Rhinolophus ferrumequinum: one gene and its partners. Each later gene encodes a partner of the first gene's protein in a complex. Links are inferred from orthologs where the notes say so. Each region holds a gene or a part of one and is shown in the gene's direction. Other genes may lie near its edges. The genes, in order: STRN4, STK26, STK24 and STK25.

Region 1 (7,263 bases):
TGCCTGGGCACCGAAAATGCATTTGGCAAAAACAAAAAATGATGGCCAAGGTCAGGGTTTTTATGTCTATAAAGCTCACTCAGGTCCCTGGAGTCAAACTCTACACTGTGGCCAAGTGCCTGGGGCCCTGTGCTGGTCGTCCTGTCTCCTCCACTCTCCTGCCAGGAATGTACTCCCACCTCCCCGTCACCTGTCCCAGTTCTGCTGGCCCTTCTCTGACCCAAGTTGGATGTCACTTAAGAATCTGAGTTGCACTTTTAAGAGTGACTTCTTACTCTTTAGAACCTTGGAATTGCCTTCTGGACCTTAGATGGATCCCTCCTTCCTTCAGTCCTTCAGTAGCTACTTGAACTACAACACGCCAGGCTCTGTTTTAGGCACTGGGGACAGAGCGGTGGACACACAATAGAAGGACAAGCAACACCCCGAACCTCATGGAACTCACATTATTGTGGGCAGAAGGAACTTCTGAATCCACTGAGTCTTTGGAGTATTAAAAATCTTAGAATCTTAGAGCTTAGATACACAGAAGCACAGGAGAGACCCTTAGATGGTTTTAGAATCTTCGAAAGATTCTAAAGAGACCATTCTCCTGCTCCACCCTTGTCCCCTACAGTTTTGTTTCCCATTTAGCACCCAGAACTCAAATTAGCTCCTGTCCTGTGTCTGCTCAAACGCTCCATGACTCAAAAGTCACTCAAAGGGAAAGCCAAAGTCTTCACTATAACCCATAAGGGCCCCAATGGTCTCCCACCCTCTCCCACTCTCACTCAGCTCTGGCCACACCGGCCACCAAACACTATTCTTCAAGTACACCTGACACACTCTAACCACTACACTGGCTACTCCCTCTGCCTGGATGCTCTCTCCAGAAGGTATCTGCATGACTCCTGTCCCACGGCCTTCAGGTCTTTGTTCAAATGTCACCTGTCCAGTGAGCCCTTCCTTTGGCCACACTATTTAAAAATACATCTCCCTATCACCCACATACTTCCTCTGCCCCATCCCTGGTTATTTATCTCTCCTAGTAGTTATCATGTAGATTTTTTTTTTTTAAAGATTTTATTGGGGGAGGGGAACAGGACTTTTATTGGGGAACAGCGTGTACTTCTAGGGCTTTTTTCCAAGTCAAGTTGTTGTCCTTTCAATCTTAGTTGTGGAGGGTGCCATTCAGCTTCAAGTTGTTGTCGTTTCAGTCTTAGTTGTGGAGGGCACAGCTCAGCTCCAGGTCCAGTTGCCGTTGCTAGTTGCAGGGGGCACAGCCCACCATCCCTTGCAGGAGTCGAACCGGCAACCTGATGGTTGAGAGGATGCGCTCCAACTAACCGAGCCATCCGGGAGGCAGCTCGGCTCAAGGTGCCGAGTTTAATCTTAGTTGCAGGGGGTGCTGCCTACCATCCCTTGAGGGAGCAGAGGAGTTGAACCGGCAACCTTGTGGTTGAGAGCCCACTGGCCCATGTGGGAATTGAATAGGCAGCCTTCGGAGTTAAGAGCACGGAGCTCCAACTGCCTGAGCCACTGGGCCGGCCCTATCATGTAGATGTTTATTTATCTTGTTTATTGTTTTGTTCCCTGCTGTATGCCCAGAGCACAGCTCAATGCCCGGCACATAGCAGGTGCTCAATAAATGAGTGACTCCAATTATTCAGATGGGGAACCTGTGGCTTAGAGACAGAAAGGATGCAGGGAGCAGAACCCAGGTCTCCACTGTCCAGGCTCCGGTTCTTGTCATGCTGTCTGGGTGACTCTGGGCTGGGAGGTACCCAGAAGGACAGAGGACAGAAAGGGGGGTCCTCAGAGACCAGAGGGTATTTATCATGGCTTCATGGGGAAGCGCCACCTACTGGGTGAGGGGACCAAAGAGGAAGGAGAAAGGAATCATCTAGTACCCTCACAAGGTTAGTCTTGACTTTTCTGACTATAAGGGCTCAAAACCCCTTCATTGAGGTAAGGTAGAGGAAATGATTTTGAAGGTCCAAATAATCTATATGCTTTTATGAATATTTTTCATAATAGAATACTATTAACAAATCTAGCTGCTCACGATGTGCCAGACCTGTTCTGAGTACTTTACACACGTTAACTTGTTTAATCTTCAAGTTATGATCACATTTAAAGATGAAGAAATTGAGGCACAGAAAGGTGAAGTCACTTGCTTAATTAAGGTCACACAGCTGGAAAGTGGTGGACTCAGGATTTGACCCAAGAAGTTGGACCCAGAGTTGTGCTTTAATCCAATCAACTCCGCTGTCTTTCTTGGGTCTACTCAGCCCACTCTGTCAACCTTCTGAGACTTCTCCAGCCTTAACCTGACAAGTACTTTCAAAGCTGAATATGACACATTAATTAATTCAATTCACTAACTCAACAAAGCTATTCATTGAGTGCTCTCTGTGCCATACCCTGTGTTCCGGGGATGAATTAGGCAGTCACTGAGTAGGACCTCCAGAGGTGGGAAGACAAGTAAAAACTACACAAACAACTTATAGATGGGGCAAGAAACCAGCTTGGGGGGAGGGGTGGCAGAAAAAAAACAGTACTTCCTTTAGAAAAGGTAGTCAGGAGGGGCAGCCGGTTAGCTCAGTTGGTTAGAGCGTGATGCTCGTAACACCAGGGTTGCCGGTTCGATCCCCACATGGGCCAGTGTGAGCTGTGCCCTCCACAACTAGATTGAAACAATTACTTGACTTGGAGCTGATGGGTCCTGGAAAAACACACTCAAAATAAATTAAAGAAAAGAAAAGGTAGTCAGGGAAGGAGAAGACAATTAAGCCAAGACTTTGTCTCTCTATCCCTGACAAAACAATGTAAGTGGATCCAGACTCACTTCAGGCCTGGGTTCACCTGGCCTGAGCTCTGATCTAGCCTGAGTCTCAACTGTTGCACGGGAATGTGATGGGTAGATATGTGGAAAGACTTTGGGGATGAAGGAAGGGCAGTGTCCACATGAGTGCTGGTGACACTGAAGGACTTCTTACCTCCTACGTTGCAGGCTGGGGGAGTTCCAGGGAGGCGGTTCCAGCCCAGCTCAGCTGCACTGCTGAGGGAAGGAGAAACAGAAAACCCCAAATCAACCAATTTTGCACAATAGAGTACAATTTCATCTTACCTACAAAAGTGGCAGTGAGAAGGTCAAGGAATCATTTCTCTTGAAGTCCCTTAAGCTCAGACACGAGCATTTTAGGAATGGGTGGAAAGGATGTCAGTTATCATAGCAACCTATAACCATCCCTCTCTGATGAATGTGTCCAGAAACATAGGGCTAAAAGTGACAAGCTGTTACCATGACAACCCTTTCCCTTTACACACTCCATCCTGAGAGAAAATCCTAAAACCATTCCCTACCTTGGTGGGTCTGGTTACTAGGGTCACTGGAGGGGTGGGGGGACTGCCCCTGTTACCACAGTAACCGGGACTTGGCCTTGCTGGTTTCTCACATCCCTGGGGATGGTCAGGCCTTGTAACCATAGCAACTACTCCTCAGCAGAGCATCTCCTTTTCTAAATACCTGGTTGGTTTGGTCCAGGGACTTCCCACCATAAGAAAGGAGGGGAGATGGTTACCACGGTAATGCCAACTGGGTGGCTGGGAGAAGGGGTTGGGAAAGAGGTATTTCCCTTAATAATCAGTGTCCCTGGGGCTAGTATCCTTTCTACCTGAGTGTTAGGTGAGGTTGCCATAGTAAGCAATGAGGGTAGGGGCAGAAGGATCACCAGGGACTTAGGTTACCTTAGCAACCTCCTCCTGTTGCAAGGACAGGAGAGGTTTGAGGCTCCATAACCACAAAGGTGGAGGGGAGGGAAGGCTGGGGGTGTTCCAGGCTAGGGAAGGGTTACCATGACAACCGACCATGGCCAGGAATCAGGATTGAGCCATGGCTGAAACCACCCCTGGTGGTCGTCCTTTCTCTCAAAGAGTTACAGTGATGCTCGAGGAGAGTGGTATTTGGGTCTGGAGAGGGTTAGAATCTTTCTTTGGAGCGAAGCGGGAGGAGGGGGGCAGAAAGCAGCGCCCTCTCAAAGTCCCGCTCTCCCCAAGGACAACCCTCGCGCAGGACCGGGGTCCAGTTTGCCGGTTCTCGGGGAGCGCGCCCCCGCCCCGCCCCTTCCAGCCACCCCCCCGCGCGCGCCTTCGGGGTCGACCCGGGTGGGCGAGGCGCGCGCCCGGCCTCGCTCCCGTCCCCGCCCCCCCACTCAGCCCCTGCCGAGCGCGCGCGCGGGGATTGGGCGGCCGCGCAGGCGCGCGAGGCACAGCGGGCGCGCGGGCCGGCCCGGGGCCTCCATGATGGAGGAGCGAGCGGCCGCAGCCGTCGCCGCCGCCGCCTCCTCCTGCCGCCCCCTCGGCTCGGGCGCGGGCCCCGGTCCGACGGGGGCGGCCCCGGTCTCTGCCCCCGTCCCCGGGCCCGGCCCGGCTGCTAAGGGAGGCGGCGGCGGGAGCAGTCCCGGGCCCACGGCGGGGCCGGAGCCCCTGAGCCTGCCCGGGATCCTGCACTTTATCCAGCACGAGTGGGCGCGCTTCGAAGCGGAGAAGGCCCGCTGGGAGGCGGAGCGCGCCGAGTTGCAGGTGAGCGCCGCCCGGGACCCCCGACCCCCCGCCCGGCCCGGCCCGGCCTCACCCGCCGCCGCCGCCGCCGCCATCTTGGAGCAATGGCCGCCGGGACGGCCGGGGGGGCAGGAGGGGACCGCGAGTGGCTCAGAGCGGGAGTGAGGGGTAGTCCGTGGAGGGTCCTGGGGGCACCGGGGCGCCTCGAGGCGGGAGTGGGGCCCGGGGGCGGGAATGCCCGAGCGCGGCCGGTCGAGAGAAGGGGCGGAAGGGCCCCGAACCAGCTGGAAGTGGGAGTGGGAGTGAGCGGACCGGCTGGCGGGTTCCTGAGAGTAGCCTCGGGGCCTGGCGGGGACCCAGGAGAACTCAGCCAAGGGTGCTGAGAGGATTTGTTGGAGGGGCTTGTGTGGGGGTGAGCAAACGCTCTCGGGTGCCGAGGGATGCCCACCACAGTCCCGACCAGGAGCGGTTGGAGGGGGAGTCCAGTGGGCTCAGTGTGGAAGACGGGGCGTCGGGAGGATTTGGGACCCGTCAAGGGCGAGAGCAGTTCGGCCGGAATCAGGCCTGAGTACGGAGAGGAAGTCACGGATCCTGGGACACAGGGTATTTCGGAGCATTTGGATAGAGGGAACTGAAAGATGGTTTCGTGAGGACTGAAGGGGTAACAGGAGGGTCTCGAGGGGTCCCAGGATGATGGTGTGTGCCCTCCCTGCTGAGGAGGAAACTGGAGGAGCCCTGGCTTGTGTGGCTACCGAGTGCAGGGAAGGGGTCCCAAGGACGTACCTTAGGAATCTGTGTGGAAGAGCTTCAGAGTGGAAACTCCAGTTTGGGGGTGTGGAGGAGTGGGGGATGGTCCTGAGATGGGCGGTGTGTGTAGGATGGCAGGTGGAAAACCCTGAACTGGAATGTGGGTGCGGGAGTCACGCATGTCCAACGTGGAGAGTAGGGGACCTGGGATGGGGACTGTAAGGAGGAATCCCAGGGGACCTGGGATGTGGCAGGGAGTGGATTTTGTAGAGCAGGAAGAAAGCGTCTCAGAAGGACCCTGAGCGGCGACGCGTTTGTGGAAGTTTCTGGGAAAGGACCCCATGGTTTGTGGGGTAGCTTGGGAGAGGGGTGCACCCTGGGATGATGTTTAGAAGAGTCTGAGGAGCTGAGCTGGGTTTGGTGACCTTGAGAAGTCTGGGTCCATTTGCAAAGTGTCCCAAGTAGCCTGGGCATCAGTTGTGAAGATTGGGAGTCCAGCCATGGGCGGAGAGGTGTCTGAAAGTGCCTAGACTCTGCATATTATTAGCAGAAGTCAGTATCTGCTTCTAGCAGCCCATCTTTCCCCTTCTGACTTGTTTACTATCTAGTTGAGGTCTGGACCCAAGTAAATAACTTATTAGAATTTTGTCCATAGGATGAATAAAGAGAGCATCCCACAATTCTCCCACTTCACTAGAGATCTTAGCTGTGTGGCGTTGGGATGGGAGAGGAATCCTTATGTAAGTGCCCCTTGCGGGGCTGTGTCCAGGCAGCATACATCTCGTTAGATCTTCTCAATACCCCTATTATGTAGGCAGGCCAGTGTCATTGCCTTCACTCAGCAGTAATTGTAGCAGCTGCTGTTATTGATCCCATGTTATGTGTCAGGCACTGTGTTAAGCACTTTACATACATGGTATCGTTTAATCCTTGCAATATTCTGGGAGGGTAAGTGATATAATTCATCACCACTCTTTTAATTTTAATAAGAAGAGGAAATGGGGGCCGGCCCGGTGGCTCAGGTGGTTAGAGATCCATGCTCCTAATTCCGAAGGCTGCCGGTTCGACTCCCGCAAGGGATGGTGGGCTGCGCCCCCTGCAACTAGCAACAGCAACTGGACCTGGAGCTGAGCTGCGCCCTCCACAACTAAGACTGAAAGGACAACAACTTGACTTGGAAAAAAGACCTGGAAGTACACACTGTTCCCCAGTAAAGTCCTGTTCCCCTAAAAAAGAAAAAAGAAGAGGAAATGGAGGCCCTGAGAGGGTCAGTGATTTATCTAGGATCACAGCTCATGGGTGGCAGGGCTGGTCTGTGGGCTTTCAAGCCCATGCTCAATTCCTCTCTGCCGCCCTGTACAGATGAGAAAACTGTTCTGTAGAAACTGTTTGGCCTCCCCGGAGTCATCCAAGCAGTCATAGTAGAGCTGGGATTGAATCTTGGTCTCTGGGACGTCACGCCAATGCGCCCTACAGCACCCAGCACACCACCTTCTCATCTTTAAGGCTAATGAGAGGGAAGGTGTGTGTTCCCTCACTCAGTGGCCCTTCTTGGAGTGTGAGAGGAGCTTGTGGGTAGCACCCATTAGGCTGTCCTCGTCTTGGCTCCAGCATCACTCACTTTGTACTTTTGTTTTCTTTTGTTCTGTTGCAGGAGTAAAAATTCAAAGATCTTAGAAGTGTGTGTGTGTGTGTGTATACGTAGATGTATAAGTGAAAAGTGAAAGTCACCCCTTTGTCGCTCTCTCACTCTCCTTCCCAACTATTTATTGCTGTGAAAGTAATTCAGCTCTATGTGTACAAAACACGGATCATATTATACGTATTATTTTATGACTTTTTTCACATACTTCTGTGCATTGGTGTTCCTTTCATATCAGCACAGAGCTTTCTCATTATTTTTGATAACTACGTTCCACTGGATGTTTGTATTGTAATTTGACCCCTGTTGATGGACTTTTAGCTTGTTTCTAA
Region 2 (6,969 bases), on another chromosome or scaffold:
TGAAGGCTCCTATGTAATGCCTGGTACATTAGAACATGCTCCATGATTAAACTTTTTTTTGTAAACAAACCATTAAATTTTCTTAAACTTATTTTCTCTTCAATATTATTTTTCATTAAGTAGTATTCACTCTTTGGGGCAGATGATCTATGACTTAGTACAAAAGCAATATAAAAATACTCTTTCATTTCCAGTAACCCTTCGATGTGGCCCAATATCTTGTGGGGATTTTTGGGGGGAGGTGGGGAAGCCACTACATTGAACTGAAATCTTCAGGGAACAGTGATTCCCAAGTCGGTTTCTTGGTTAGTAATCCCTAATGCAAAGAGTGTAGAGCATGGTTTTTCAAACCTTGGCACCATTGACAATTTGGGCTGGGTAATCCTTTGTTGTGACAGCTGTCCTGTGCATGGGAGGATGCTTAGCACCCGTGGCCTCTACCCACTACCAGTAACGCCCTTTCCTCCCCATTTGTGACAACCAATAATGTCTCCAGAAGGCAAAATTACCCCTGGTTGAGAACCACGGCCCTAATGCATTACTGTCTACATTGAGGTTTGTCTGGCCATTTCTGTCTACCTACATTTTAGCTGTGAATCAGTCCATTCAATAAATATTTACAAACATGGGTAAAATTAAATGTTTAATATTGACGGTATGACAAATGTTGGAAATTGAAATCACAGATTATAAATTTAAATTAAGTTTTGTTGGGTTCAAGGACACTGTCTAATTTGGAGTTCACTGACTTCAATTAATCTGTATACAATCTTATTTTATTTATATGGTTATTAAGTGTTCATAGCACTCAGGTCACACCAATTAAGCAGGTACAAAATCTGATTTGAGGCACTATGTTACATTCCATGGGGTTACCAAAGAGCATAATATGTGGTGTCTCTCCTCATGGAACTTTTTCCATCAAGCTATGGGAATACATTGTAATATAGTATTAGACTCTGGGATGATATTTTGAAGTAAAATATTCAAGTGTCCTTTTCTGGGGAGAGTGAAAAAAGCACACTTGAATTTCTTATTTTATTTATATTAAGATATATATATATATATATGCATATATATATATATATATATATATATGAAAAAGCATAAGCAAACCACAAGGAACTCCACGTAAAAACTCAAGTGATCTCTATAAATAATAATAACAGATAGTTTATTTAATAGAAGTAGTCCTAAATAAAGGTCAAAAAGTTTACTAAGATCTCAATAGCAGTGTTTCTAAGGAAACGTCTCAATTGTTCAGGTCTCAAAAGTTAGCATTTAGACTACTACATTCTTACATAACTCTGGCCCAGAATGATGTCAGGGAAAGTCACTTCTCAGATATGCTTAATTTACTTATCTATTAAAATTACACAACTTGCTCTTATGTAGTTGTGAAATTAAAGTAACTGGAAAGAATTTTGGAGACCAAAAAAAAAAAAAAAAAGAATGGTGTCACATATACTAAAGTGAATGATTTAAAGGTTCAGCAAGAGCAGTACGTAGGAGTTTAACCAGGCATCAATAAAACACACAGTATACCAATAATGCACCCACCTATCACTATACTAATCTCAGTGAAGAATTCAAAGGAAATACATCTATTCATTTATTCATTTAACAAATCTCTATTGAGGGCTTACTATGTGCCACACACTCTCCTAGCCTCTGAGGATACAGCAATGAACAAAACAGACAAGAATTTTGCCCACTGACAGTTGCCATCCTACCTGAATAATTCTTATGTAAGAGAAGGTGGATCTCTGGCCTCTAGGACCTAACAATCTTGTTGGGCAGACTAAACAAATGAAATAAGAACAAAACCACAATGTGACTGTGGCTTCCATCGACATGCAAAAGAAGTTTGAAAGGGGGATTAGAGCAAGGAGGATGGCTCAATGGGGGTGAGATTTGAGATGAGCCTCTGAAAGGGGGATTAGAGCAAGGAGGATGGCTCAATGGGGGTGAGATTTGAGATGAGCCTCAAATGATGGAGCTTGATTCAAACCCTTGGTATTCAAAGTGTGTTCTAAGAATCAGCAGTAGTGCCATCACCTGTGAAATTGTTCGCAATGCAGAATCTTGTGCTCACTCTAGAGTTGCTAAATCAAAATTGGCACTTTCAAAAGAATCCCAGGGAATTTCTATGGACATTAAAGTTTAGGTGGCTCTGCAGGTTTTTGGTCAGGCTGGCATTGTTGAGTGTGAGCTGGGTGAGTGGGAGCTAGAGATTGGATTGGGGCCTCTCATCATGTTAGAAGTAATAAGGGCCTGGAATTGGGAAACCAGGAGTAAGGGAAATGCAATTATATCCTCCATCATCTGAATAGATAAGAAAATGTGGTGTAGATACATGATCTGGAATATTATTCAGCCATAAAAACGATGGGAATCCTGCCATTTGCAACAACATGGATGGACCTTGAGGGCATTATACTAAGTGAGATAAGTCAGATTGAGAAAGACAAATACTGTATGATCTCACTTATATGTGGAATCTAAAAAATACCAAACTTATGGAAACAGAGAGTAGATTGGTAGTTGCAAGGGGCAGGGGATGGGGGAAATTGGTGAAGGTGATCAAAGGGCACAAACTTCCAGTTATAAATGAATATGTTCTGGGGACCTAATGTACAACATGGTAACTATAGATAACAATGTTGTTTTGTGTACTTGAAAGTTGCTAACAGAGTAGATCTTAAAAGTTAGAGATACTTGGGTTTGAATTTCCAGCTCTACTTCTTAATTGTGCGATATTTTGTGTCAAATTATTTAAGCTCAACTTTTTCTTCATCTGTAAAATGGGGAGAAAGCAATATGACCTCCCTTGTAAAGATTCAATTAGGTAACACATTGTCCCTGGCACAAAGAAAATGGCATCCATGAATAATAATGATATTGACAATAGTATGCTATCTTTAAAAGGTTCAAAAGGAACAACAACAAAAATATATTAATTGAGTGTCTATTGAGTGGCCCCAATACTGTGTTGTGTACAGACCTATAACAACCTGCAAGGTAGGGAACTTCATCCTCATTTTGAATTGGCACTCAGATATTACATTTTTAAAATGTAATTGACCCCTTGTGGGTTCCCAGAGGTCCCTTCATAATGAGATTCTTGAAATTGCTATTACCATTGTTAATGTTATTAGGGTACTCTCAAAAGACCTTGTCTCCCTCCTGGAGTGGAACATGAAATGGGGTGGAGGCAAGGATTTGCTGGAACCACTGCTGTGTATGCTGAGTTCAATAATATGCACTGCTACCGTACTGATGTTCATCCTCATTAATTTTTCTGCGGACGTACCATCTGTTCTCCAACTTCCCTCTCTATTAAACGTGCAGAACTTGTGATAAACAGAAGCCCCAGTCTGGCCACCCCCCACCAAAGGATAGCCCAAGAGGTAGGTGTAGCCTCAGATTCAGGTCACCTGAAGCATGTCTGGGGGCGAGAGATCCCGAAAGCATCAGAGTGGCTACGGATCTGCCCGGTGGCACGGCCTCAGGCTGGGGAGACCCCCACCGCAGTAATGGGCAGGAGTCCACCGACTCGGTGGCTCTCTGTGCCCCTCTGTGCCCCACCCTCGATCAGATTGGGAAGCCAAGAAGGACTTCCAACACTCTCCAAGTTTTAACTCAAGAAGTCTACGAGGCTGCGTGTGCCCCAGCCTCGTACGCCTGCCTGCAACGTGGCCGCGTCTAGGACGCCCTCATAACCCCAGGTCACCCAAACTTTTCCATTATCTCTCCAGGCCGAGCCGTGTTCCAGGTCCCCCAGGCCCCGGGTTCTCCTCTCCGCGTGCGGGGAGAGTCTTCCCTTCTCAGGCTCCAGCAACCCCAGGCAAACCTCTTCACTCGGAACCTTAGCTCTCCTGACACCGCCCGACTGTGGGGCGGGGGCAGGGCCAACGGAGGAACCGCCCCCAACCGCCTCCCCCGCCAGGCGAGCGGGCGGGTTGCTGAGGCGCCTCCACCTCCTCTTCCTAAAGCGGCTAGGCGCAGACGAGCGGCATCACTCGAGCCCAGGTCTCAGCCACCGCCACATACAGCGCCCCGCATTCAGGAGGAGGAGCAGCAGAGGAGGTGGCGGCAACAGCGGCCGACGGGCGCCAGAAAGGTAGACTGAGTCCCAGGGAGTAGCCCCGCGAACTGCCGACTTCGCAGTCCCGGGCTACGCGCCACTAGCCCAGTAACCCCACTTCTGTGTGTCCTTCCAGGCCCGGGTCGAAAAGCCTGGGAGGGCCGCCGAAATACCCCCGGAGAAGGAGCCAGTCCCAGCCCAAGGCGCCACCGCCGCAGAAGCAGTGCGGAGCAGCCGTCGCCTTCATGGCCCACTCACCGGTGGCGGTCCAAGTGCCCGGGATGCAGGTGAGGAAGCCCAGGCCTGCCCCGCCGCCCATGTGACTACCCCAGAGCCCCGTACGCACTCCTCACTGGGCACCGAGAGGCGGCCTCAGGGCTCCCCCGAAGGCAGGGCCGGGCGCTCTGGCCAGGTGACCTGGGAATTGGGCTCTAAGTGTTTCCTGGCGTTGAGGCTATGCACTACGTTGGGAAGGAGGGGAGGGATTGGGGCGCGCAACGAGGTGAGGATGGGGTGGGGGCGTTATAAAAATAGGCCAGAGCGAGACACCTGCGCCTGCTGAGCGTGGTACCCTTGAGGATTGGAGGCGGGAAGACTTGGGAGAGATGGAGGTGTCTCGGAATTTATCGGGTAAAATGCAATTTGTGCCCCCTGCCAAACACAAGTTGGAGCGGAGCAAGACAAGGGGATGTCGGTGGCGGCGGCATTAAATCGGTCTCTTCCTGTGTGCATAGAGCGAAGTGACTTCTTTTCCCCTTTTGGTGCTGCTTCTTAAGGGCGAAGTTATATCTCCCTACCCCACCTGGCCCAACCCATAGGGCAGCATGAGAAATGTTGGGTCCCATATCAGAATCGCCTAGGAGATGACTCTCCAGCCCCTTCCCCAGCCTTTCCCACAAAATGACTGTTGCATGTTGTTAAGGGAAGCTTTTTGTCCTGGACTGGGGACTGCTGCATGGGACCCAACTTCTTGCTGAAGATCTACCCAGTCCCCCTCCCCGTTATATTTTCATTTTATTAAAGAAGAAATAAGCTATTTTCATACTTTATATGCTGTTATGGTTTTAAATTGGTGCATTTAAAGCTATCTACTAAATGTTACCCAAGTCTACTAACTTTTAAGCATTCACATTTTTTTTTCCTTTGCAAGATAGCCTAAGCAACCCATTTATGAATAACTCAGAGACTAGACACACTAAAGCCTCACTTCCTTATTATGTTCTAAAAATGTGAAAGCAAACTTTTCTCAAGTTCAGACAAAAATGTTTAGTAAATAGCTTATGTTTTAGTATCAATCAAAGAGCTGTGGATGGGGGCCTCAATTTCCTAATTGATGCATGGAATTCATTTTTTTTAAAAAGCAATTGGTCACATTTTATGCATGATCACAAAAGAGTGATTTTTAAGATACTTCCCCCAAAAAGGACCATCTGTGTCTGACACATACCTAACCAAAGACTCTTGTGTATCCTAAGCACCAGGCCTTTTAACTGAATATCGTCTGTGTCGAGTCCCAGGAAGTTGGTGTGTATTTAATAAAAATAAATAAATAAATAAATAAATAAATAAATAAATAAATAAACAAACAAACAAACAGGGAGAAAAAGGGTAATGAGAAATATTAAGGCTTTTAAAAAGGTTAATCCACTCAAGCTTTACAAAATGCCTCAAACTTTCTTCTCAGGCCACCCCCTTCCCTCCCTCTTTCCCCCATCCAGCCTGGCCCACACCCCATTCATTTGGTTCTGTCTTTGATTGTATCATGGGAATTAGAAGCTTGCAATACTAACTATGGTTTTGCTCTGTCTGATGTGGAGGAAAGTGCGAAAAATTTCCCACTGAACCCTCCTTCCCATTATGTGGAGATGTACAGATGTAACATTTGTCTTTGAGGGTTTCCAGGCTTTTCTCTCCATTGTGTACGTTAGCAGAGTGAGTGCCTGCCCTTCAAGTTTGTGATTCTGAAAAACTGTGAGCTAAAGAGAAAATAGTTTCTGGTCTTTATTTCATTTGTCTTGACTTTATTTGATTTATATAGTTTCTAGTCCTTATTTGATTTATATGGTTTAGGAAATGCTTGCTGTTAAGTGTTTCTTATTGCTCCCAGCTTTGTTGAATTATCTGAGTTCCTATCTCTTGAATTTTTAAATGTTAATTAAGGTGGTTTAGAATGTGAATCACGTATTTTAAATGACAAACTCTGCCTTTCACTTTATGCCTACCCAAAGTTGTGATTATTTTGTCCAACCTTAATTTGGAAGAGGCAGTCATCTCAATATTAGCGAAGAGACTTTTTTCATCTTAATGAAAATGGTAAATTCTTAACTTCTCATTTCCATTTTCTTTATAGATGTGGTTCTTAAGCATTTGGTGCAACACAAAACGTTTTCCACAGTTAAAATTGTACAGTACCCTAAAAATAAATTTGATGGCATACAGTGTGACTCTTGAGCCTAGATTTCTTTTACTATTTTGTTCAAAAATATTGCATTTGAGATGCAGAAATACATCATGACCTTGTGAAATTTTCCTAAAATTTTGTTAAAGAGTTAAGAGCACCTTTTTTTAGACCTTTAGAGTAGTAAGAAAACTTGAGTTAGCCATGTGTTCTTGAAATTAATGTATAGTATTTCTACAAATCATGGTGAAGTGATTGACTGGCCTGTAACTTTTTAACAGTTTATTTTAGAGAATTATCAAGATTGATGGAAAAATGATTTTTCCAGAAATAAAAACAAAATTATCCACAGTGTTTTCCTCCCTTCCCCTCCCCCCCAGGAAAGACATGAAGTAAAAGCTGAGCTACCTGTTCTATCACTTAAGACTTCCAGCATTCCTGACTTTCAAACAAAGAAATTTCTGTTGCCACTAGTTTAAAATAG
Region 3 (7,133 bases), on another chromosome or scaffold:
AGTATCTGAGAATGTGACTGTATTTGGAGATAGGGTCTTTAAAGAGGTCATTAAGTTAAAATGAAGTCACTTGGGTGTACCCTAGCCAAATGCGATGAGTGTCCTTATAAGACAAGATCAGGATACACACACACAGGGAAGATTGTGGGAGGACACAGGAAGAAAATGGTCACCTCCAAGCCAAGGAAAGAGGCTTCAGAAGAAACTTACTCTACTGCCACCTTGATCTTGGACTTCTAGCCTCCGGAACTATGAGGAAATACATTTCTGTTATTTAGGCCACCCCACCCATGGTACTTTGTAATGGCAGCCTGAGCAAACAAATGTAGGGTGCAACCAAAAACTGACTTAGAATGATGGTGCTGTGAGCTTGCCCTCTGAGCCTCAGTCACAGAATGCAACTACCTTTCACTGTTCCCCAATGTAGCTGGATCTTTTCCTAGGGCTTTAGCATACATTTTCTTGATATCATGTCATCCAACTATGTCTAGTCATGCTGCTTTATACGGATCTTAATAAATCTGTCTTCCTCTTTTGTGTCTTCACCTGCTAAACATGTGTAGAAATTTGTCAAGCCTTCTGTTAGTTACTTATCCAAGCTACTCATATTTCTCTCTTTAAAGTTCACCATGTAAGTCCCTTTCTTTAATCTGTAAATTTAAATTGCTAATGTGCTACTTGTCTAGCTGTTCTTTATAAAGTGGCATTTGGGGGTGTTTATCTTTTCAACTCAGAAGAAGTGAAGGGACTGATTGTTGAATTCTTGTTTCTGGCTGCATTCTGAGCTCTGCTGAGGCTATGAGCTGGCTTAGGGGAAGTCAATACACAAGGGTTCTATATTTGGAGGGGCTTTATATAGGGGAATGGAAATGTCCTTTGTGGTCCCGAATATGTGTCAGAGCACAATTCACGCTCAATTCATGTCCTTAGGTCAACACAAAAGACAGAGAGGGCCAAGGGATGAAAATAATTCCTTGGGTTAGTAAGTATCTCCATGGAGACCAGAAAATGCATGATCTTTATAGAGACCCTCAAAATCTCTCCTGAAATTACAGTAGTATATGATCTGTTGGAATTATAAATTGAGGATGGAGGGAAGTGACAAAAGGGAGAGGATGAAAGGATAATCCTCTTCTTTCCTTAGTGGAACTATACACATTGTGACTCTAAATTTAATCAATTGTGGTACTGTAAAATTCTGAAGTTAAGATTCTGGGAGACCACGTCCCGAGGATAGGATGAGAGGCATCTGAGAACCTAGTATTTATACGCCCAGCACTGAACCAGATGCTGACATGTGTTTGGCATTCAAAAAATGTGCTAATGTATGAATGGATTCAATGAGCAATTGGGCAGGATCGCATCATGGGCTCAGGCCCTGTCCATCATCTGTGTTCTGTTAAAACAAAGGGAGAAGGCCACTGTCTGCGGAATACTGGGAAATATCTGCCTATGACTGTGCGGAACAGTAACTCCTATTTTGCTTCTCTTTCAAGGACAATGATGCTCAATTGTATAAATATGGTCAAAGGAGGAAATGAAGTTCACTTGTGGTGAGGAGATAAGCCGGGTACAGGGAAATAGACCAGTTAAAGAATGCAAGTAATTGTGTCCAGATGAATTATGTATCCTACTGTAACATACCTGTTCTTAGCCTTACTAGTCTCTGGAGGTGAAAAAGGATTTGGAATACTTTTGATACGCAGGGTATTGTGGTCCAATGCCCCACTATGGCTTATTTGTTGCAAACTGGCCCACTACAAAACAGGCCCCTGTGTTTTTTGTGTTTCCTACGGTAATGCCTCAGCTTAGTGCCCAAACATTTCTGTCCACTCGTCCTATTTCTTCCTTCTTATCTTGCTATCACGTTATTGCTCTGATTGCTGATCCTAAGGAGAGACCTCTTAGCATGATGGTCTCTAATGGTTGACCACTGACTGAAACAATCATCTTTAATTCCAGAAAAAGCTACTGCTAAATCTTGGTGTATATACTTTCAGGTTTTTCTGTTTACAAATATATACATAAAATTATACATACATGTAAATGATATATATGTTAAATATAACTTCATATACATGAAGTAGCTTGAGATCAGACTATAATAGTTTTGTACTCTGCATTTTGTTTCTAACAATACAAAATGAAAATATTTTCCATTTTACTAAATGTTGAAATACATCATTTTTTACTGACTACGTGGTACTCACTGTATGAATATACTATCATTTACTTAATATCTATTAGACTTTTAATGTGTTCCCAGTTTTCCCATGATTATAAATATCACTGAACTGCATCTTTTTATATCCATTCTTATGCATGTCTTGGTTGTTTCTAAATATTAATAGAATTCCTGGGTTGAAGATTATGAACATTTTTAAGATTTATGCTCTTGCTTGTTTTACTGTTCATCTCTTTATGTACCCATTTTTTTTAGGTACACAAAATTTACAAAAGATGGTGAATCCTAGGTATCAGGATTCATGCTTTTCCTTTTTTTTTTTTTAAGGAGGGCACAGCTCACAGTGGCCCATGTGGGGATAGAACTGGCAACCTTGGTGTTATTAGCACCAACCTCTAACCAACTGAGCTAACCGGCCACCCCCATGCTTTTTTTTCACTTTGCATTTGCCACCTTCTCTTCCCAATACTTGGGGGCGGTAGGGCTTTACAACTCAGTGCAGTTAGTGTACCAGTGACAACGGTAAAGCTATCTGAAGGTATCCTGGAGAATCCCAAGGAAAAACACGTGTATCGTGTATTCCCAAAGGGAAAGCAGGGAGTACATTTTAGCACCCCCCTCCTTGTCTAATCCAGAGCACAGAGAGAACTGAAAGTCTCTCAATACAATGACACCTCAGAGAATAAACACTCCTTACCTCGGTGGAGAACTTTTAGAATTTCCTCCAGTAGTGTGTGAACTCTTGGGGGCTCATTTTTGTATGTCCAACCTCACACAGTGATGGTGCAACATGGCTTTCATTCAGGGGCATGAATGAGGTGCCAGGATCCCAACAACCTGAGGTACAGCAGATCACTTCAGTGGCTACCACTGTCATTGTAAATAAAATACTTTCTGGAGGCAGCAGACTCGTTCCTTCTTTCTTTCCTCTGTAGTTGGAGACTAAAAGGTGGAGACAGAAGTGGTGCCCAGAGCGGACCTGGGGCTTTTGGAGGCAGCAGAGAGGGAGAGGGCTGGGGTAAGTCTAGACACGGTTTCCTTCTATTGTCTTCCCTTCCTCCTTGCCCCTCCCTCCCTCCCCTGCATTTCCCTTCTCATGGTGGACGCTGCAGCCTGGAACCTGAGCCCGGAGATGGTGGGATTGAGCCCCCTCGCTTCTTAGCTAAGTTTACAGCGCCTAGTATTGCAAGCGGGGCTGTTTTCAAGCAGCAAAAGCACTCAGAATGAACAGCTCTCGGCCTCTCCCCTCGGTTTCCTCCTCGGGTTGGCTGGAAACTTCACGGAGACACCGAAGAAACTCCGCCCTGGTAGTTCTGAGCTGACCACCGGCTGAGGCCCCGCTGGGCATTCTCCCTCCCGAAGTCTCCCAGCCCCAGACTATGCCCTCGGGGAGGTAGCCTGGAGCCCGTTTCCTGGGGGCAGAAGGAAAAGGGTGGGCTCGCTTGGAGGGCAGGAGGAAGATGGTAGAGTCAGAGCTGGTGCTCACCGCTCCCTCGCCGTCCAGACCCCCTTAGGACTCCCACCAGGCCCAGGCGTGGGGGTGGGGGTGGGCACACAGCCAATTCCTGGGTCCCACCCGGTTCCCTCTTTCCCACGCCGGGAGGCCGCTCAGGCTGAGGCCCCCTCCCCGCTCATAGCCGCCAACTGGGGGCAAAGGGCAGCGCGCAACAACACTCGGATCCCCGCCCGCCCCGGCAGGCGGCGGCTGCGGCCTAGGGCAGCTGGCGACCGCGAGCCTCCTCCCCCTCCCGGAAGCGCGGGGCGGGGTCCCCGGCCGGGCCGCGGGGGCGGGCGCGGGGGCCGGGCCGGGGCGGGGCGCGCTCGGCGCTCGCGGGCTGGGCTGGCTGTGCGCGCCCACTCCGACTCCAGGCCTCCGGCTCTAGCCTAGCGGCGGCGACGGCGGCGGCGGCATCGGCATCGGCAGCCTCAGCCTCAGCCTCAGCCTCAGCCTCAGCAGCAGCAGCAGCAGCAGCAGCAGCAGCAGCAGCAGCTATTCGCGGCGAGGCCCTGCGCCCCTCGCAGCCCCTTCCCGGCGCTGTGCATGGAGACGCCGCCCGCCGCCGGCTGCTGAGCCACCATCCGGCCCGGGACCTGCGGGGGCTGGGGTGGCCTCGGGCTCCGACTCGGGCTTGGCCGGCCGCCCTCGTCGCCCGAGGGCTGCGCTTGGCCCGCGGGCCTCGTCGCCCGCGCGAATCGCCGCGGCCCGGCCGTCCCGTCCCAGGAATTAGCCGTCCTGACCGCCATGGCTCACTCCCCGGTGCAGTCGGGCCTGCCCGGCATGCAGGTAAGCAGCAGCCGGGCCGCCGAGGGGCGGGAGGGATGCGCGGGCCGGGGCGGAAGCAGAGAACTTGGCGGTGTAAACATGGCCCCCCCCACGCTGCCCCTTCCGGGGTCGCGCCGGCCTCCCGCGTCCGGCTCTCAGTGCCCGGGGCGCCCCTGCCCGGCTCGGCGGTCAGCGTTTCGGGGACGGGGGGCGGCGCGGGGACCTGGGGGCCGCGGCCTGGAGGCGGCCCTCTCCGTCTGGGAGTCGCGGTGGTCAGGGAGGGATGTGGGGGTGCCGGCCGTCTTCTTCCCCGCTCCCCTGTCTCCCCAGCGCCTCCGGAGCTGCAGGCCCAGCGCCGGCCCCAGCCCCGGGGGAGAAGTGATGTGGGGAAATGCCCTTGGAGGCCCCGGCGCGGTCTCTGGGCCCTGCCTGCGCGCGGCGGGTGCTGGAGGCCCCTGTCCCCTCCCTGCGAGCGGGCGGTAAAGTTGAGAGGCGGGAGGGGAGCCCCGGGCGCGTCAGGACTAGTCCTGGGCCCTGCCCGGGTGGAGGAGCCGGGATAGGGTGGAGGGAGGTGCAATTGCCAGCTCCACTTCCAGCGCGCGTTTCCTTCTGGTGCAGACACAGGGGAAAGTGCGAGCCTGTAAACCGTGCAGAAGGACTCCCTGGGACAGCGTGCACTCGAGTGTCCCGAGCCGAGGCTGACCCGCCCGGTCCTGGGACACTAGGCTTTTACTTTGAGAATTGATTGAATCCAGATGAGTTCTTCCCAGTAAACCTTTCCGTTGATACTTTGTGGCATGTTGGCCTACCATTGACTTTTTTGGGGTGGGGAGAAGTTGAATTTCAAATTACATGAAGGCGTTCAAGTTTTTCTGTATCGGGCACCGTTTTTAGCCCTTTGAAAAATAAAACCACCCTGCTTGGCTAATTTGTAATGCGTGTAAGCGCATAAGAGGTGTCAAAATCATTAGGATTAAAAACCTCACGATGCAGTTAGGGTATGTCATTAACGTTCTGCTCTCCCAACTTAGCTAAACGAGTGATCATGAAAACACAACCCCAGTATCTAAGTGGATTAGTTATCCTACAGACAGCCACGGGCTTGTTTTCTCTTCTTGCCTCGCTCTTGAGGGCTGAGAGGAACGGGGCTGGAGGACCTGGCCTTTTAGAAGCCGGGAATCTGTTCCTCTCTTTCGACGCACATCGTTTTCTCTCATTAAAACCATAAAAAGAAAACGATTTCATTGTTTAGGTTTGCAGTACTGAAATATAGGAACATAAAGTTACCAGAATTCTAGCCTCAGTTTTTTTTTTTTTTAAGGAGTAGCAGTTAAAGTTAATACCGAGAGAGCTTGAAGAAAACTGTCCTTGAATCTCATCCAAAGAGTTTTTAAACTCAACGTGCATTTAAAAGCTAAGCTTTTGCTGACCACTAGGTAAAAATCAGATGTGGTTTCTTGGTATTTCCTAAAGTTCCTGCTTTGGTTTGGTTTGAACTGAGATGCAGGAAGGCAGGGTGAACTGGCTGAAAAATGATTTCTGACCAGTAGAGCAAGAAGGCCTTCTTGTAGTGACCAAAAAAATAAAAAAAAATAAAAAAAAAATACGTCTGCTCAATCTTTCCTTTAGACGGACTTTTATGCTGTTTTAATCAGGTTGCAGTCTAGCACAAATGCCTCCCTGAGAGTTTACCACGGAGGTATTCCGCCTTTGTGGAGAGAGCATCAGTTTAAAAAGGTACTTAAAAGCCTCACTAGCTGGTGCCCTGAAGTCAGTATCAGATGGTTACCAGGTACCTTTTTTTGTCCTCACTTTTTTCTTTCTTCAAGAGTGTGGGCCAAAATTCTTAAATCTTGGGAAAAGAAGGTGAATTTCATTTAATAACTTTGCCGCCCAAATACAGTGCATTTACTAGGTAGTGTTACAAAGGAACTGTTTTTATTTTGCTTTCTCAGTATGAAAGCTGATAAATTTTTATTTAGTTGAAAAAACCAAATTTTCATCTTGTTAGAGTTGTAGAGGAGTTGAAGGTGGCTTTTGACAGTCATCCCTATATTTAAGTACATGTATAAACTGTATGATAATTGTTTTTAGTTTGCTATTTGGGAATGAACACCCCCCCCCCCCCCCCCGCACCCCCCAAGAAAAACAACAAGCACGTTTATTTCCTACTTTGAATTAGCAGCTGCTACTGCCCAGGGAGGCTTTTCCTCAGTGTTGTTGGGGATTAAATTAAAGGCACACCCGCCTTGGCCTGTTCTCTAGGATAAAACAGGAGAACTACTAACCCTTCTGTGCTCTGTCCTGATACATCTCACATCCCTCTCTTTTTTCTCTCTTATCTCCTGACCAGGGCTTATAAGGAGCTGGGTTAAAAGTTTTAGGAAGACAGTACAGTGAATTCAGGCAGCCTAGGCAAAGATGCCTACAAAATAAGCCTGAATGAGAGAACATTTTAGTGTAAACATAAGTTTTCAGTGTCTTGCAAATCATTTCTATGCCTCTTGTTTCTTACTTGTTACCATTTGAGGCATAGTTATTATATGCGATTTTCTAGATTTGGGAATCAACTAAAGACTAATTGAACTGACCAAGGTGAGATGGGGCAAATTTGTGACTTGAAACCAGGTCTTTCTTGCCTTCAAGACCATACTCACCATGCTGTATTACTACTTTTACAAAAAT
Region 4 (7,195 bases), on another chromosome or scaffold:
AACTCCGAAGGCTGCCGGTTCGATTCCCACATGGGCCAGTGGGCTCTCAACCACAAGGTTGCCGGTTCAACTCCCGCAAGGGATGGTGGGCTGCGCCCCCTGCAACTAGAAAACGGCAACTGGACCTGGAGCTGAGCTGCGCCCTCCACAACTAAGACTGAAAGGACAACAACTTGACTTGGAAAAATGGCCTGGAAGTACACACTGTTCCCCAATAAAGTCCTGTTCCCCTTCCCCAATAAAATCTTTAGGAAAAAAAAAAGTTTTCGGGTGGACAGGTGGCTCAGTTGGTCAGAGCGCGACCTCTGGGCAACAGGGCTGCTGGTTCGATTCCCACACGGGCCAGTGAGCTGCGCCCTCAGCAACTAGAATGAAGTCAATGAGCTGCCGCTGAGCTCCCGGATGGCTCAGTTGGTTGGAGCGCGGGCTCTCAACCACAAGGTTGCCGGTTCGATTCCCATCCAATGAATGGTGGGCTGTGCCCCCTGCAACTAACAATGGCGACTAGACCTAGAGCTGAGCTGCACCCTCCACAACTAAGATTGAAAGGACAACAACTTGACTTGGATGGAGCTGATGAGTCCTGGGAAAAACACACTACTGTTCCCCAATGAACAGTCCTGGAAATACACACTCTTCCCCAATAAAGTCCTGTTCGCCTTACCAAAAAAATCTTTGAAAACAATTTTTTTTTCTTTTAGAAAACCATACAGTGAAATTGTCTTTTTTAGTGTACAGTTCTCTGAGTTTTAATGCAGGTATAGATTTGTGTCATCCCTTCCACAGTCAGGGTACAGAGCAGTTCCCTCACCCCCAGAAACCCCCTACTGCTCTCCTCTGTGGGAGCAGGCTGCTCCCCCCACCCCTGGGAACTACTGGCAACTTCTCCCTTGTGGCTGTTGTTTCTTCCACAATGCCTCCTATACGGAATCACATGCTATGTGATCCTTTGAGACTGGCTCCTTCTGTCACACGTCTCTCAGTAGTCGATTCCATGTCTGGATGGATCGCGGCTCATCCACTCACTGCGGAAGGTACCTCTGGGCTGTTTCTAGCTTGGGGTCCGGCTGACTAGACATGCTGTAGACATTTATGCATAGGCTTTTGTACGAAGATATGTTTTCTTTACTTGGTGTAAATACCCAGGAGTGGGCATGCTGGCTCACGTGTTAGGTATATAGTTGACTTTTTAAGTAATCGCCAAGCTGTTGTTTAGAACGGCTGCACAGTTACACCGTATGAAAGTTCTGGGCTCTGCCTCCTCACCCTGAGTGACCAACCATCTGCTTTGCCCAGGATGGGAAGAGGGGCTTCCTGGGACATGGGACTTTTGGTGTTCAAAGTGGGAAACTCCTGGACAAACTAGGATGGTTGGTCACCCTAACCTCGCCAACACTTGCTAGTGTCAGTATTTTTAGTTTAGCCACTCTAATATGTGTGCAGTTAGAGTCTCGTCATGGTTCGATTTGCATTTCCCGGATAGTTAACGACATTGAGCATCTGTTCATTGCTGACGGCCACCCATCTATCCTCTTTGGTGTGCCAAGTCTATTCTCAAGTTTTCTTATTGGGTTCTTTTTAAACAAATGTTTTTATTAAAATATAACTGACATACAATATTGTTTTAGTTTCAGGTGTACATCATAGTTATTCAACAGTACCCACCTGGCACATACATAGTGATTACCATATTATTGATTATATGCTAAATAAGTGATCACCATCAGTCCAGCAACCATCTGACACTGTACCACGCAATTTTACTGTACTATACTATGTATATACTGTAATATACTGTACAATATTACTGACTATATTTCCTATGCTGTATATTATATCCCCATGACTTATTTGTTTTATATCTGGAAATTTGAACATCTTACTCTTCTTTATGTTTCCCCCCTTTTTAAATTTTTCGGAGTTGACATTCAGTATTATTTTATATTAGTTTCAGGTGTACAGCATAGTGGTTAGACATTTATATAATTTACGACGTGATCCCCCTGACTAGTCTAGTACCCACCTGGCACTATACATAGTTATTACCATATGATTCACTATATTCCCTATGCTGTACTTTACATCCCCAGGACTATTTTGTAACTACCAATTTGTACTTCTTAATCCCTTCCTCTTTTTCACCCACCCCCATTGGGTTCTTTTCTAACTGATGAGTTTTGAGAGCTCTTTATATATTCTCTTTCTCTCTCTCAATATATATATTATGTGATATATATATATAATACATATATATATAATACATATATAAATATATATATATTTTTCCTCTCTCCCTGTCTGTAGCATCTTTTCTTTTTTTTTTTTTTTTTTAAGGAGGGCGCAGCTCACAGTGGCCCAGCAGGGACCAAACCCGCAACCTTGGTGTGATTAGCACCGCGCTCTAATCAACTGAACTAACCAGCCACCCCTATCATTTTCTTAATAGTGTCTTTCTGGAAGCAAAATGTAAAAATTTTGATGAAGCTCAATTTATCTTTGCTTTTATTTGTGGTAAAATACACACAATATAAAATTTACCATTTTTAAGTGTACAATTCAGTGGCATTAAGAAAATTCACAAGTGGTGTAAACGTCACCACTATTTATTTCCAGGACTTTTTTTTTTTAATCACCCCAAACAAATTCTGTACCCACTAAGTAATATATCCCCATTCCCCTCTCTCCCAGCCCCTGGAAATCTCTGTTCTACTTTGTCTCTTGAATTGGCCTATTCTTGATACCTCATATAAATAGAATCATACAACATTTGTCTCGTGACAGGAGAAACTCAGCTACAGGAGAGTTCTTATGCTTATTTCCCTTAGCTGTTTTCTAGGTTCTTCTGTTTTAGCATGTGTCAGAACTTAATTCCTTTTTTATTTCATTTTATTTATAATTGTGGGAAAACACACATCATATAAAAGTGAGTGTGTGAAGCATGCTTAAGTGCACAGTTCCGTTGTTAAGCTCAGTTTACATTGTTCTGCAACCATTACCTCTGTCTCCAGAACTCTTTGTCTTCCCAAACTGACACTGCGTCCCTACTAAACACTCACTCCCCTCCGCTCCCCAGCCTTGGCACCACCATCGACTTCCGTCTCTGAATCTGACTCCTCTAGGGACTTGTGGGGACAGAGCCCCAGAAAGCAGTTTCCAGGCTCTCGGCCTCACATGGAAAGGTGCTGGCTCAGGTAGTAAATGGCCATCAACTGTGATTGGCTGGCCATCAGCTGTGGCTAGTTGGCCGCCAGCTGTAACCAGTGACCCATTGGCCACTAATATAACCGCCGTGGCTACGCTAGCAGAAAATGGGGGCTAGCAAGAAGATGGTGGCTGGCAAGCGCGGACTGCAGTTAGCACGGCAGAGTGCGGGTTGCAGATTGCAGAGAAGTGGACGGCAGGTTGTAGATAGTGTGGCTCCTGCTTCCTGTCTCCAACCCAGCCGCCAGCGAGAATATAGTGGTATGACTCCCCTCTCTATGGCTCCGTGGGTGTTCCTTTTTGGCCTCACCATGTCCTGCGTTCTTATGTGGGGAGCGGGAGCTGAGACCCCGCAGGCCGCCCCGCATGACAGGACTTCACACAAGGGGGATCACACAGTGTTTGTACTTCTGTGTCTGGCTTATTTCACTGCTCACATGCCCTCAGGCCTATGCATGTGGCATCAGGTGTCAGAAAGTCCTTTTTCAGTCTGAATAATATTGCACTGTGTGTATGCACCACATGTGTTGGTCCTTTCCTCCCCTCAGGACCCTGTGGGTGCTGCCAGATAAGCAGCAGCAGAAGGGCGGACGCCCTCCAAGGTGGAGGGGAGAGTTTTCTAGGGGAGGGGGGGGGCGGAGGGAGACGAATAGGAGGAAGCGGAGTGGATAGCGCACTGGGAGGGCGGGGAGGATGGAGAGTGGAGCCGGGGAAGATGGGGCGGAGGAAGAGGAAGGCAAAAAGGAGACAAGATAGAGCCCAGCGGGCCCCAACCCCAAAGCGGGGCGCCGGCGTGGCCCCGCCTCCCGGACCCGGTCCCGCCCCGCGGCCTGCCGGGAGACGTAGTCCAGAGCCTCTCAGGAAGCGGGACTCGGAGTCCCAGCGAGCCCCGCGGCGCGCCTGCGGGCCGCGACTCCGCCCCGCCCCTGGCCTGCCGGGACTTGTAGTCCAACGCGGGCGGACGCCCAGGCACTGGACGAGCGGCCGGACTCGGTGTCCCTGAGAGCCCTGCGCTGGGCCACGACGCCGCGCACCGCCCTCTCCGTCGCCGCCGCCGGCCTTTCTCCGGCCGTCGCCGCCGCCGCCGCTGCTGCTGCTTCGCGGGCTGGAGGGTCCGGGTGTCCCCCCGGGCGAGCGGAGGCTGCGGGTGGGAGCCTGCGCGGGCACTGCGGAGCGGGCCGGGGGAGGCCGGGATGGAGTACCCCGGAGGTGGGCGCGCTGCTGGGCGAGCCCGCGCCTGGGGCGGTTGGGGAGGGGGCCGAGCGGTGGGGGTGCCGAGAGGTGGCGAGCGGGGTGAGGGGAAGGTGCGGGGCTGAGGGCAGAGAGGGCCCCGGCGCGGGGTGGGCACCGGGAGCGTTGGCTGGCGCGGGGCAGCGGGTCTGAGCGCCGGTGCCGGGCGGGGGCCAGGTGGGCGGGGCTTCGGGGGGCGCTCAGGGCGGCGGTCCCTTCGGGGGTCGCGGGCCCCGGGCGGGCGGGCGGGCGGGCGGGGAAGGGCTGCCGTGGGGGTTTCCGGGGCCTTCCTGACGCCAGCCCGCCGCCCCCTTCGGAGCCTGTTCCCGATGGTCGGACGAGGGGCCGCCTCGCGCCCCCTGAACCGGCTGAGCGAGCGGCCTGCTGTCCCTCCAGTTGGCTGAAGCGAGCGAGCCGGGTGCCAGGGCCTCGAGGCGGAATCCAGGGGCCTCCGCGGTGGCGGCGGATGTTCTGAGCGCGGCGCGGACATGGCTCACCTCAGGGGGTTCGCCAGCCAGGTGAGGGTTGTTTCGGGGTGACAGCGGGCAGTGTGTCCGCTCGCCGGGCCGCCGGGAGCAGAGCGGTGCCTGCAGGCGCGGGAGGGGTGTGGGTGGGAACCCGTGCCGCACACCTGTGGGCAAGAGGGGGCGCGGTCCCGAGGCGCCCGGCGTGCTGGGGCTCAGGGCCGACGGGGGGGCTGCTGCAGCGTTGTGGGGTGCAGAAGCGCGCAGGCATGTCAGAGCAGCGCAGTGGGAGGCCGTGGAGGCTGTGCAGAGGCCCGGTCGGGACGGCGGCGTGGCTGGGGCGGGACCCCGGGTCTGTCCGCACGTCCGTCTGCTGGGATCGCGCAGGTCGGGCGCACGCGGGCCGGGGCGGGGCCTCCGGGGGACCCCTCGCTGGTGGGCGGTTAGGGGGGCTGGGAGGGTGAGCGGGCCGCTCTCCTGTAGGAGTGGGGGACGCGCGTGAGTGTGTCCATGGAGGGAGGTGCAGTACTTACCTGGTGGTACCGCCCTCCTTCGGTCGGTTGCTCCCTAGAATCCCCGGTATTCAGACACCTTGAGGTGTCTGACTCCACTGGCTGACTCTGGGGGACCCTCTGCAGTGTGCCCCGAGTTTGCTGGCACCTGGAAAGGAGGGTGTGTGTAGGGGGCAGTTGGGAGGCTTGTGGTCTGGACCTCCCCTCTTTTTTGTTAAAGGAAGTGTGATTGGAGCTGATGTGGCTGCCTGGTGGCCAGGTTTTCCTGTGTCCTCGTTGTTAGTTGTTCCCTTGACGCGATTTAGGCCAACTGCTGTAAGGCGAGGGGTGGCCTCTTACAGAGAGGAGTCCCACCGCTGGCTCCCGTGCACACAGTCGGGAGCTCAGCCCGCAGGAGGAGCAGGAAGCTGGGTCGTATGGTGCGCAGGGAGGAGGCGCCCGGAAGCCACACGCAGCTGTTGGGCAGGGCTGTTGGGCAGGGCGTCCTGGACCAGCAGTGGCCACAGATGGGACCGGGGTTTGCTGACGGACACTGAATGATGCTAACAGACTTTGCGTGTATGCTTGACATTTTGTGTCTGGTACACGCCAAGGTGCTGGGAGAAAAGTCCGCCTGGAGCTTGTTTTCTAAGAGCTGTAGGAGTGGCCTCCATGGGTCCCAGAGAGGAATTGGAGCAGGGAGCCGCCTGTACCGCTGTGCTGATGGTGCTTGATGCTTGGCCTGGGTGCCCACTCAGACCCGGGGAGGGGGCGTGGGTGCTGAGGAGCTGGGAAAGGGACCCCAAAGGAAGGACGCTCCCTTGTCCTTTCAGGGGCGGACAGACTCAGCCTTTGTCGCAGCAGGAGGCCTGATAGGACTGCATTTTCTCTCCAGACGGCTGTCACTGTGGCCTCGTGGGTGGTCCCTGTGTGGAGCAGCGGGCGAGCTCCCCCACAGCCTGTGCTCCTGCTCTGATGTCACCCCCGCCTACGGGCCGAATGGCTGGGGGTGTGAAAGCACCATGTGCTTACCAGCTGTCACCTGTCGTGTGCTGGTTGGGGACAGCTTGGCTCTTGTTTTGTGGGGTGAAACTAATGGCAGACATTCTGCCAGGTGGTAGCCCCAAATCTGGCAGTGCCAGGGCTGACTTGAGAACAAGGGCCTTGACCACCAGAGCCAGTTGAGCCACTTGAGTGTTGTCCAGACCACGTGCCTGGTCTAGAAGGGCTCCCGGGCCCCCAGACCTGAGAGCTGCGTGTCGTTCCTTCAGCCGGTGATACGCCTGTAGGGTCAGTGTTAGCCAGAAGTGTTCCTGTCACACCCTGTCTACTCACTTGACTGATCCGCAGCGGTGCTGAGACCTGAGGCTCGGGGCCCTGTCTTCTGTGGAGCCTGGACTCTGGCTTAGGGGGTGCACTGTGTTCTGCTCAAGGCAGTGGAGGTCTGAGCGGGCCGGCTGGGGTTCCTTTGGCGGCTGTGGGGGGCCAGATCGGCTCTGGCCAAGGCCGGGCGGGGCCGGCGAGGTCCCCACGTGGAAGCCAGTGGAGCAGGTTTTCTCTCTGGCAGGAAAGCCTTTTTGTGCTGCTCGCTCAGTGGTCAGCGGTATGGTAGGTCACACCTGAAGACCTGAGCAGCTGTGATTTGAAGCCTGCTTTCCCTTGACCTTGGTTTTGGGGTCTTCCTGGCAGTAGGCTGGCTGCAAGCTTCGCGGTTGTTTCTCTTCCACGTGTACTGGGCTGCCGGTTCCAGTGGGGCTGGCCACATCCCTTAACAGGCTGAGCCGCGGTGCAAGGGGACACCTCACCACC

What was found.
Region 2: STRN4 (region 1) and STK26 share a complex: the UniProt entries of both Homo sapiens proteins name them as parts of the core of STRIPAK complex. The link is inferred for Rhinolophus ferrumequinum from reciprocal best matches to the Homo sapiens genes STRN4 and STK26.
Region 3: STRN4 (region 1) and STK24 share a complex: the UniProt entries of both Homo sapiens proteins name them as parts of the core of STRIPAK complex. The link is inferred for Rhinolophus ferrumequinum from reciprocal best matches to the Homo sapiens genes STRN4 and STK24.
Region 4: STRN4 (region 1) and STK25 share a complex: the UniProt entries of both Homo sapiens proteins name them as parts of the core of STRIPAK complex. The link is inferred for Rhinolophus ferrumequinum from reciprocal best matches to the Homo sapiens genes STRN4 and STK25.

What each region holds. Positions count from the first base shown.
Region 1 is NC_046298.1:42,863,736-42,870,998, reverse strand, and holds the start of STRN4 (striatin-4), read left to right. Parts: upstream 1-4,263; 5' UTR 4,264-4,281; coding exon 4,282-4,563; intron 4,564-4,615; exon of another isoform or gene 4,616-4,688; intron 4,689-5,325; exon of another isoform or gene 5,326-5,344; intron 5,345-7,263. UniProt on the Homo sapiens protein: Calmodulin-binding scaffolding protein which is the center of the striatin-interacting phosphatase and kinase (STRIPAK) complexes.
Region 2 is NC_046284.1:23,859,672-23,866,640, reverse strand, and holds the start of STK26 (serine/threonine-protein kinase 26), read left to right. Parts: upstream 1-3,968; 5' UTR 3,969-4,123; intron 4,124-4,223; 5' UTR 4,224-4,332; coding exon 4,333-4,374; intron 4,375-6,969. UniProt on the Homo sapiens protein: Serine/threonine-protein kinase that acts as a mediator of cell growth. Modulates apoptosis. In association with STK24 negatively regulates Golgi reorientation in polarized cell migration upon RHO activation.
Region 3 is NC_046287.1:44,276,753-44,283,885, reverse strand, and holds the start of STK24 (serine/threonine-protein kinase 24), read left to right. Parts: upstream 1-4,111; 5' UTR 4,112-4,427; coding exon 4,428-4,469; intron 4,470-7,133. UniProt on the Homo sapiens protein: Serine/threonine-protein kinase that acts on both serine and threonine residues and promotes apoptosis in response to stress stimuli and caspase activation.
Region 4 is NC_046291.1:253,065-260,259, forward strand, and holds the start of STK25 (serine/threonine-protein kinase 25), read left to right. Parts: upstream 1-4,184; 5' UTR 4,185-4,348; exon of another isoform or gene 4,349-4,410; intron 4,411-4,827; 5' UTR 4,828-4,919; coding exon 4,920-4,949; intron 4,950-7,195. UniProt on the Homo sapiens protein: Oxidant stress-activated serine/threonine kinase that may play a role in the response to environmental stress.